Drosophila melanogaster: one gene and its partner. The protein of the gene in region 1 purifies or fractionates together with the protein of each later gene. This does not show direct contact. Each region holds a gene or a part of one and is shown in the gene's direction. Other genes may lie near its edges.

Evidence for each region.
Region 2: the proteins of Cep97 (region 1) and Sirt2 purify together in Drosophila melanogaster (affinity purification with western blotting, with the first as the bait; one study listed by BioGRID). This does not show direct contact.

What each region holds. Positions count from the first base shown.
Region 1 is NT_033779.5:3,865,730-3,871,960, forward strand, and holds Cep97 (centrosomal protein 97kDa), read left to right. Parts: upstream 1-1,967; 5' UTR 1,968-2,252; coding exon 2,253-2,259; intron 2,260-2,650; coding exon 2,651-2,811; intron 2,812-2,874; coding exon 2,875-3,332; intron 3,333-3,388; coding exon 3,389-3,747; intron 3,748-3,813; coding exon 3,814-4,074; intron 4,075-4,143; coding exon 4,144-4,320; intron 4,321-4,360; exon of another isoform or gene 4,361-4,395; coding exon 4,396-4,825; intron 4,826-4,892; coding exon 4,893-5,460; 3' UTR 5,461-5,696; downstream 5,697-6,231. Other genes in the region: TTLL4B (tubulin tyrosine ligase-like 4B), read left to right, coding at 18-188, 249-1,257, 1,340-1,495; CG31957 (uncharacterized protein), read right to left, coding at 5,824-6,140.
Region 2 is NT_033777.3:20,326,424-20,331,470, forward strand, and holds Sirt2 (sirtuin 2), read left to right. Parts: upstream 1-2,041; 5' UTR 2,042-2,165; coding exon 2,166-2,250; intron 2,251-2,305; coding exon 2,306-2,397; intron 2,398-2,453; coding exon 2,454-2,550; intron 2,551-2,605; coding exon 2,606-3,492; 3' UTR 3,493-4,492; downstream 4,493-5,047. Other genes in the region: CG4360 (uncharacterized protein), read right to left, coding at 1-375, 450-1,113.

The sequences.
Region 1 (6,231 bases):
GATATCTTCTTTAACAGATCCTACATTATGCCAGACGATCTGGAGAGCCTGCGTCAGGTGTGGCCCAAAAATGCCTCGAAGCTGACCAAGTGGATTGTTAAGCCGCCGGCGAGTGCCCGAGGCACGGGCATACGCATTGTGAACAAGTGGAGCCAATTTCCCAAAGATCGTCCTCTGGTGGTTCAGAAGTGGGTGCCCATAACTTCGTCTTCTTTAAAAATCTTCCCTAACCCTAAACCCCACTTCAGATACATTGAACGTCCGCTGTTGATCAACGACAATAAGTTCGATATGCGTCTGTATGTGGTACTGACCTCGATCAACCCACTCCGCATCTATATGTACAAGGATGGACTGGCGCGTTTCGCGTCCGTTAAGTACAGCTCGGAGCTGAGCAATCTGGACGAGCGCTGCATGCACCTGACCAACTACAGCATCAACAAGTTCTCGCAGAACTATGCGAAGAACGAGGATTTCAATGCCTGCCAGGGCCACAAGTGGACGCTTCAATCGCTGTGGTCCTGCCTGGAGAATCGTGGCGTGAACACTAAGCGCCTGTGGGCCACGCTACGGAATCTGGTCATCAAGGGCATCGTGAGCGGGGAATCGGGATTGAATCGCATGTACCGCCAGAATGTGAACTTTCGCTACAATTGCTTCGAGTTGTTTGGCTTCGATGTGCTCCTGGATGAGAATCTAGTGCCCTGGCTGTTGGAGATAAATATATCGCCGTCGTTGCATTCGGAATTGCCACTGGATCTGCACGTGAAGGGTCCGCTCATTCAGGCCGTGCTGAATACGGCTCTATATCAGGTGCCGCCTAAGCTGAACGAACGTCAGCAGGCGGACATCCTGGAGGAGCTTAATCTGACCGGTCCGTTGTGCCATGACAAACGCATCTTCACCACCTGCCTGACTGCAGAGGAGGTCCGCAAACATAACCAGTACACCAATCGGAGCATCGAATTCCGGGAGGAGTACGTTGATACCATACTGGACAATCTACTGCCGGACGATGTCCGTTGCCTGATCGTTGCCGAGGACGAGCTGGCCAGGTGTCAGCCGCTGGAACGGATCTTCCCCACCGCCGGCACACATGTATATCTGCGCTATGTCGAGAATGCCCGGTACTATAATCGCCTGCTGGACGCCTGGGAGACGAAGTACGCCAAGAATAGGGAAATGGGCATTGCCTTGCTGTCGCGCTATTGCCGGGACAAATACCATTTACAGGTGTCGGACGCCGCCATGGAAAAGGTGAACGATCAATTCAATTCAATTGAATTTCCCCTTCCGTACCGCTTCTGTAGTCCATTTTCAAGTCATATTTCTTATCTAGGAACCAAATGTTGCACTTACCGAGATCGATATGCTGCACGTGCGAAAGGATGAGGTCTTGGACGGTGCCACCACGCTGGCCATACTTAAGCCCGTTGTCCAGGAGGGCTGCGAGGTGGCGCCGATTCCGGATGCCTGCATCGAGATCAAGTCCTGAAATTGAACCGAACTATCAGCACTATCACCATTGCTTCTTCCATTGCCATTGCCATTTCCATTCCCGTTTCCGTTACCAGCTCACAGCTGTGCCAGCATCCCGTGCAGATGTGCTCCGGAATTGTATCCGCTCAGTAAATTCACTTAACTTCGATCGTCTTTGGTGGCAATAGCCTGTTTTGGCATCCAGCTAGAAATTGGATCACACGTCATTTCAGTAAATATAAAACACTACGGGGTGTTTAAAAAAATTATGAAAATAAATATTTTATTTAAATTTAGTTCTTATTATTTATTCTTTATGCGAACACTGTAAACTGTAAAGAGTATCGGTTTTCTTATTGGGTAATTGCTCAGCACAGTACTAAGCTTTTTGAACTACGCGGGCTTTGGCAGTTGCGATAAGTCTAAGGAAGTGCAATCGATAACTAGCGGCGCAGTCTTGAGTTTTCAAGCTGCCGATAACGACATCACGCCTCCAATTATCGATAGACGTAGTATAATAACAATAAACAAAAATTCACTGTATTGCACGGCGCTAAAATAAAAATTAAGTTTGCAAATCATGGCGTGGACTGAATTATAAACCCGGCTTGAAACCAAAGGACTGCAAGTGGAACAGCTGAGCTGCACACTTGGGAAATTGCCAATCTGAAACTGCGTGGAAAAAAGAGTGGCCCATTGATTTTTCGCTAAGTATCTGCTGATTAAAAAAAAATTGACCGCAGCGTTGGAATTTCGGCCTGCCAATCAGAAAAATGAGTGGTAAGAAGCCAGTTCTATGCAAGAATGGGCACTATATATTAGTAACTAATAATATGATTTGCGGGGATTGGGATTTGCGTGCTGACTGTATGGGAATTTGCAGTCTGCTTTTGGGGAGTTGGGGTTAATGTTCAGCGGGCCGGGGGCTTCGAGGTCCTGGCTAAAAAGGACGCACCTGCGCCCTGACCTCCTCTCCAACTTCTTGAAAAGTGCGGACCCCTCGATGAAGTCATCAATTTTGTAACATGCACACGTATACAGTGAAGCTTGCATTATGTATTTCCTTTTTGGGCTTTTTGTTTTACATAATTCTGATATTGTGTTTAATGCATAATAAGTATGAAGTGGTAAACCTTAGTTTCTACCCACTGTGCTTTGTTAACCCAAACAGGCGACGAAAGTGGCGAGGAGAAGCACGTCCTGAACTTGTCCAAGCAAAAGCTGAAGAAGGTGCCCAAGCAGGACGATGCGCACAGCATACGGCAGCTCATCCTGGACGAGAACGAGCTGCAGAAGATCGACAACATAGACTCGTATCTCAAAATTGAAACGGTGACTTGCAACGTTCTGCGAAAAGAAACAAGTTCCTAATTAACAGAAATTCAAATATTTCAGCTCTCCTTGGCCAGAAATCAATTGCTGCGCATGTATGGCGTCTGCCGGCTGCATTGCCTGCGTGAACTGAATCTGTCCTTCAATGGCATACTCTCTATCGAGGGCCTGAAGGAATGCATCCATCTGCGCGTTCTGAATCTGGAGGGGAATAACATCAAGACCATCGAGCATCTGAACACGAATGTCAATCTGGAGTGCCTGAATCTGGCGGATAATAGCATTGGCAGCATTTCGGATATGTCCTATTTGCGCAATCTCAAGGAGCTATATTTGCACGGAAATCGCTTGACGCATCTGAGGCAGTGCGACAAGTGTTTGCCCACCTCACTGGAAACCCTAACGTTGGCCAAGAATAGCATCAACGATCTCAACGAGATCTGTACGCTGTCGCATCTGAGCAACTTGCTGAGCATTTCCATTGCGGATAATCCCTGTGTGACCATGATCAACAGTTTGGAGTGAGTTAGCTTAATGGATCATATGGATTGCGCTTAAAATGTAACATCTCTTGCAGTGGCTTTGATTACCGACCTTTTGTTTTAAACTGGTGCATGAGCCTCAAGTACATCGATGGCTTTGTGGTCGATCCTATTGAGAGTCTTAAGGCCGAATGGCTGTATAGCCAGGGACGTGGTCGCCAGTTCCGTGTGGGCGAGCAGCAGGGCTTGGCAAAATACCTAAGTTCTGTGTGCCCGCTGGTGGGCAAGGCGCTGGAAAATGAAAACGATAGGAAACTCCGGCTGATCCTCAGCAAGGCGCAACACCATCAGCGGCAGCTGCAGGAAGAGATCATGGATAACGCAAATAGTTCTGCCAGCACTTCGCCCTCATCCCATCGCAAGAAGCCCACGAGTCGCATTCAGTCGCCCAGATGTAAGTTATTAACTCCCTATCTATGCTTTTTCATATAACTTATATTTTTCTGTCTTCGATTTAAAGTCTCCCGCTTGAGTGGCCGCCAGGGATCACCGGAGTCCATGGTGAATAGCTATCACGGGAACAGCAGCAACAATAGCATTGTTAGCGACAATGGATCTACGAATCATTCGCTGCAAATGAGCATTTCGCTCATTGAGAACATTAAAAACGATGGCGAAGGCTTTAGTTTGGCCGGCAGCGGAATGTCCAGCAGCGTGACCACCAAGACATACAATTCCACGGAGTCCACGCCACGGAATATAACACCCAATCCCTACAATGGTATGACAATTAAAATATATTCAATGCAAGAGTGGAAAATGATGTTAATAGTAAACAACAATTCCACAGATCAAACGTTCATCAGTCAAACCCCATCTGGTGGTCCATTGGCGGCTGCCTCGAAAATGGTCCCAGTTCCGGAGACTCTGATGAGCCCGGATGTCTGTCCCGCCGCTGTGGCCCAAAGAGTTACGGTTACGGCACTGAACCCTCAGCTGCACAAGACCAAGATCAACAAAAATAAAGGTAGCCAGTAGTTGTTACTCTAGACTTTTAAAACGACACAGATTTCTAAAACATACATACACATTTACACTACAGACAACAAACTGAACTTGCCAAGAGTGCGAAGTCCACAACTGAAGAGGAACCAAAGCCCTACGAGCAGTCCACGGAGGATGGCCAATAAGTGCAGCGCGGACAACATGCAGGCACCGGAGAAACTCCAGCAATCGGCTGTTTTGGCCGATAGCGGTGGCTTCAGCACCGACGACGACGGCGAGCAAATCAACATAGAGAAACTGAGAGCAATCCGGAAGATGGCCGCTCAGAAGCAACAGCAGATGCATCAGGAGCAGCTGAAGCAGCAGGTGGACAACAACCTGAACTGCCAGGATCGGCTGATCGAGCACGTGACAGAGTCCTCGGCCGTTACCATCCAAAAGATGTGGCGAGGCTATCACACACGCAAGAAGACCAACAAGGACATAGCCGAGCGATTGCAGCGACGACGCACACAGGAGTATATCGAGTAGGTGGTCTCGTTTTAGGCAACATATATCGCAACTTTCTAATGCTCTATCTGTCGCATTCCTCAGACAACTCGGCAAGGATATGCTACTTACGAAGGCCCAGCTCGAGAACGAGCGAAAGATTCAGCAGCTGCAGATGCAGGCCATCAATGCGCTGTGGAAAAAGGTGTCCACCATGGAGGTGGATCCCAAGGGAATACCTGCTGCTGCGGAACAGGGCGAGGACTCCAATGGCGGAGGGTCTGGCCACCTGAGTCTCGATCAAAATTCAGCCGCCGTGGTAAATGATTTGGCGAAAAGATGCACCATGCTCACCGATCAGGTTCAAATGCTGCAAAGCTCGATTGGAACCATCGTCAACTGCCTCACAATGGTGTGCAATCTGCCGCAGGACGCTATTAAGAAGCAGGCCGAGATCATTGATTGCAGCTCCACTCAGACGGACCTCATTGCCGTACACACGCCGCAAATAGAGGACCTCACCAATTTTCCATTCACCAAAACAAGGCCCTCAACCTTGGCCCTAGAATCCAAGCACGAAGCTGCTCTGGCTTGTCCCAAAATCGATGAATTGAATGATGTCGACCTGAAGGAGACCCAAGAAGACTCGGAAAATCTTGATAAAGATCCATGAACAAATCCCAGTTAATAAATGAGGAGTATAAACGCTTTAAGGGTCGATCTCAGCGCTTATTAATTCCTTTCTTAGGCTTTTGTGTAGCTTTTGCAACAATATTAGATCGGTTACGAGAACTTAGAAGTAGCACCAGCATTCACAAACACATTACTTTGTTACATTCCTGAGATGCAGCGATGGTGGAAGACTTAACAATAGTATGAACAAATCGTAAATACAAATTTTTGTAAAGCACAAAAGGTGTTCTTGATTGCGGGCAGATTTTGTTCAAAAACAACACCAGCATTAACCAACAGTTTTTTTTTAATTAAGTTTGACAAATTTGTAAATAACCTAACTATGTGTGTGTTTGTACATCGTTCAGTCCTCTTCGCTGGATGTTTCCTCATCTTCCTCTTCGTCGGAGGAATCGCGATTTACAGGCCGATTTGTATTGGGCAGGAGATCATCCTCGAAATCGGAGTCGTCTTTGTTTTGGCTGGTGGCTTCCTCCTGTACAGGTTTCTTTGTGAATTTATCCGGCCAAATTGCAGCTTTTGTGTATTCCTTTATATGTTCGGGTGTGAGTATTTTGCAAATCTCGGCTTTGACTTTATCGCCCTCCTCAATCGGTTCGACCAGCAGAAAGTCGCCACGTTTCACCCACATGCTCTTGCGGAATTTGTTGGGCATCGAAACTAAAAGGGTCAGAAGGATACAAATTCATTATTAAGTATCAACATGAAATGAGTTGGGATGGGCTATCTCAACATGTCTTTATCGAGACGT
Region 2 (5,047 bases), on another chromosome or scaffold:
ACTGCATGTGGCAGTAGGAACACGTGTACGGCTTGTCGCCCGTGTGGATCTTCTTGTGGTTGGCCAGCGTCGCCAGCTGGCTAAAGGACTTGTCACACGTTTCGCACTTGTACGGCTTAGGATCGATGTGGGTCCGCTCGTGGTTGTGCAGCGTGCTCAGCTGCGGGAAGCGGCGCTTGCAAACGCTACACTGGAACGGCTTCACCAGCTCCTCGGCCGCCGGCGAGCTGTAGCTGCCGGAATACAAGGTCTTTGAGATTTGGACGCGCTGATGCTGCTGCTGGTAGGCCTGGTGCATCTGGGACTTTCGGTGTTTGCCACTGCCCGTCTGCGGCTGATAGTTCAACAGGGAAGTTGGCGTGCTGGACTCCGCCGCTGTTGCCCGTAAGCGAAGCGAGAAATAGAGTTAGGTCATAAGGTCTATTGGGACGATGCGACCACACACTCACCCTTGTGCGTCTTGATGTGATTGATCAAGGTGCTCTGCTGGCGAAAGTCCTTGGCGCAGATGTTGCAGGTGAACGGCTTTTCTCCGGTGTGGATTTTCACGTGGTTGGTTAGCGTCGAGATCTGGCGGAAGGCCTTGTCGCAGTGTTTGCACTTGTAGGGCCGCTCGTCCGTGTGGATCTTCATGTGGTTGCGTAACGTGGTCAGCTGCCGGAACTTGTTCTTGCACACGTGGCACTGTTTCTTCTTGCGCGGATCGTCCACCACCACCTCCTCCTCGCTAATCACGCTCTGCACCTCCTGTTTCATAGGAGAAATGGGCGTGTGGCTGCCCCCGCCTCCTCCGCCACTGTTCGCTGTTGTAGTGGATATGTCCAGCAAATGGACCAGCGGGTGCTGTGGATGGAGCATGGCTTGGTGGGTAGGGTGCTGGATGGCCTGCACGGCGGTGAGTTGATGCAGCGCAAAGGGACTCTGTTGCAGGCTGGCCAGTGTGGTGGGCTGCTGCTGTCCCGAGTTGGGACCCGGTCCAGATCCACCATTACTCCCTCCTCCACCGCCACCGCCACCTCCTCCTCCGCCGCCACCGCCATGGGAGGCTGGCAGTTGGTAGTGCTGATAGTTGGCCATGGCTGCCGTGGCGGCTGTCGCATGGTTCAGATGCATGATATTCGAGAGATATGATCCTAGCGTGGATCTACAGTCTGCCCATCGGCGGCGTTACACAATGGCGGCCACCGACGACCCTCGGCCATTCCCCGCCCCCGCAGTTGCTTCCACTGCGCCGCTCCTTTTGGGGCCTTTTTTGATTTGTTATTTCAGTCGTCTGGTTTGCACTTCTGTGTACTTTTGCTGCGCTGCTGCTGCTTCTTCTTCTTCTCTTCTTCAACACGCTGCTTACGCTTCCACGTAGCGATTGGGAGGGCCTGAATCCGCGGCCACTTTGTCGCGCACTTCCCCACGATCAGTTTCCACCGTTTTCGCTCGCTTTTGGGGCGCTTTCTCCGCCGTTTCTGCAGTTTTTCCAGGCCACGCTCTTTTTGTATCCGTATCCTTATCAAAACAAAAATGACTGGCGTGGTTTTCCAGGGCTGAGCGAACGGGCAGAGCTGCACCCCCGCCGAACATCGAGTAATCGACTATCGGCCGGCCAGGGCTGGTGGCGCTAGAGAGCCTAACACTGGGTGGGTCGATAACAGCTATCGATTATTTGGACACTCCGTGCTGACAATTCAGCTGATTTTAACCTTTCAATTAGTTTATATTCAGATATCAACAAAGTGTAATTGTTATTTTATCTATACTCGATTTTGTAACTTTGCGCCCTTCTTAGCTTTAGTTATTCTATTATTCGGTTCCTTTTTGTTTAATGAGTCATAATATGTTCTAACCGTTACAAACACATATTTATTTGCGACCCTTAATAAATCGCTGTTAAATAAAAATCTTTCATTGATAGGCTACTTAAAGTAATTATAATATTTTGGTTTGCTCGCACAAATTTGATTTTAAAATCTAAATCAATAAGCAATGAAATTAAAATTCTAGCTTTTTAATAGCTGTTAGAGATAACTTATTCGTTAGCCTAAACCTATCGATAGTTGTCAGAACTTGTTTTGCTTTTTACGTTAAAACAAAACGCAACATAAACAATTGGGAGAATTCATCACACTATCCTCAGATTTACATACTTTCACCGGAAGGTGAATCTGTTTACCATGGGCGACATCGAAGTAAAGAAGGAGGAACAACCGACGACGCCCTCCAATTCCTCGTCCAGTGACGACGACGAGGAGGCCCCAGGCTAGTCTAAATAGTTAGGTCTTTACTGTCACTCATTAATTGAATTGAATTCTAGACGACACAATGGATAAGGTTCGACGCTTCTTTGCAAACACTCTACATCTCGGCGGCTCCTCGGACGCAAAGGAGGAAGTTAAAGTAGAGAAGGTGAGCGGAGCACCCGATAATTTGATTATCATATTGATTAAATCGCAAATTTGCAGGTTATTCCAGATTTGAGTTTTGACGGCTTTGCCGAACATTGGCGTGTGCATGGTTTCCGCAAGATTGTGACCATGGTGGGAGCCGGCATATCTACATGTTGGTACATTCTATATACCATTGTAAAAACTTACTAAGTTATCGCCATTCCTAGCTGCTGGCATTCCGGATTTCAGATCCCCAGGTTCCGGGTTATACAGCAATCTGAAGAAGTACGAGCTGCCACATCCTACGGCCATATTCGATCTGGACTACTTCGAAAAGAATCCAGCGCCGTTTTTTGCACTGGCCAAGGAACTTTACCCTGGATCCTTCATTCCCACGCCGGCCCACTACTTTATCCGTTTGCTTAACGACAAGGGACTACTGCAGCGCCACTACACCCAGAACATAGACACGCTAGACCGGCTTACTGGCCTGCCCGAGGACAAGATCATTGAGGCCCATGGCAGCTTCCACACCAACCACTGCATTAAGTGCCGCAAGGAGTACGACATGGACTGGATGAAGGCGGAGATCTTCGCCGATCGTCTGCCCAAATGCCAAAAGTGCCAAGGCGTTGTTAAACCAGACATTGTTTTCTTTGGCGAAAACTTGCCAAAGAGATTTTACTCCAGTCCTGAAGAGGATTTCCAGGATTGCGATCTGCTGATCATCATGGGCACATCGTTGGAAGTGCAACCGTTTGCTTCACTGGTGTGGAGACCAGGACCACGTTGCATTCGCCTCTTGATCAATCGCGATGCAGTGGGTCAGGCCAGCTGTGTGCTCTTTATGGATCCCAACACGCGATCGCTACTCTTCGATAAGCCCAATAACACTAGGGATGTGGCCTTTCTGGGCGACTGTGATGCTGGCGTAATGGCTCTGGCCAAAGCCTTGGGCTGGGACCAAGAGCTGCAGCAGCTAATTACAAGTGAAAGGAAGAAACTGAGCGGCAGCCAGAATAGTGAGGAGCTGCAACAAGGCAAAGAGAAACCGCAATCGGACCCGGATAAGATGACTTCGGGCGATAGGGACAAGAAGGATGCTTCGCTTTAGACCCTAAGATTAGTTAGTAACATCCGTAGTTAATTTGTAGTTGAATTGTGCAATTTGTTTACATGTGGATTACGTGTATAAAGCGGACAATGCCAAGCGCAGGCATTGCTGGCTAATACCGCGAGCTTTCTTTCTCCTCCGTTTCCGGCATTCAATTATTCAAGTGCCATTTGTGAGCCATTAGCGTGTCCCTTTTGGCCGGGCCACCATAAACCGCAAAAACTGATTGAGTTGCTCTGCCGTTTCCGGCGCACAAAAAGCAGCAAACCGCCAACAAAGGTTAACTCTCGACATGTTTCTGTTTCGTTTTCTGCTCTGATCCGGGCTTGGCTATGGATTTCGATGCTGGTGTTGGTGTTGGTGCTGATGCTGATTTCGATTCAGTTACAGCTGCCCAGCCCCTCGACATGGCTCGACCGCTGCTGTGGGCGTGGCATGTGGCATTCTAACTGCCTGTTTGTGTGGCTTACACGGATGCTGCTCCTGCTCCTGCTCCTCCTCCTGCTGCTGCTGCTACTGCTGCATCAACTTAATGACTCGCAATCTGTCCTGCAGAAGCACACACGCACAAAGCGAAAGAGACACACACGGTAGACCGGTAATGAAGCTTCTGCGGTGAATTGGCCAATAGAAAATACGTACGGGCAGGACTAATTAAAACCAAGCTCGCAATCGGGCCAGCGGATAGCTACTGCCGGGGTACACAACCGGATATTGTTAATCGTTGACAGGGGCGACGGTTCGGAGGTGGATGCATGGTATGATGGGAGGCATCCCAGCCTGTCAACTTCGGGACATGAATGGCTGCAGATGCATTAGGAAATCAAATGCAGCCACGGAAATATTGATAGCCACGCAATTTGTTGCAGTTTCAGCTGCCACTGCTGTTGCCATTGGAATTGCACTTGCTTTTGGCCCAAAACTTTTGCAATTAAAGCTAATGGCCTAAGATCTTGTCTATGTGCAATTTTCCCGAGTCTTGCCTTCTCAGCGAATGTTTTGCTGCACAAATAAAAATTATTTGTGTTCGCATGAAAAAGTTAAATAAATATCGATTAGCTCATCACGTTACGTTATTCAATACAAAGATTAGTTTGAAACATAAAAATAAATACGAAAAAGAAATATTCAGACTAACTGTTCACACATGAACACGAATATATTTAAAGACTTACAATTTTGGGCTCCGTTCATATCTTATGTAAATGAATCGAGAGCGATAAATTATATTTAGGATTTTGTTATCTAAGGCGACATGGGTGCATTGCTCAAAAACATGTAATTTAAGTGCACACTACATGAGTCAGTCACTTGAGATCTTTCCCCGCCTCCTAAAATAGTCCCTTAGTGGGAGACCACAGATAAGGTCCTCGCCGCTCAAGATAGGCAGATGTGCCCGAGCGTGGGACCTCGATAAGGCGGGGACTATTTACTTAGGCCTCTGCGTAGGCCATTTACTTTAAGATGCGATTCTCATGTCACCTATTTAAACCGAAGATATTTCCAAATAAAATCAGTTTCTTACAAAAACTCAACGAGTAAAGTCTTCTTATTT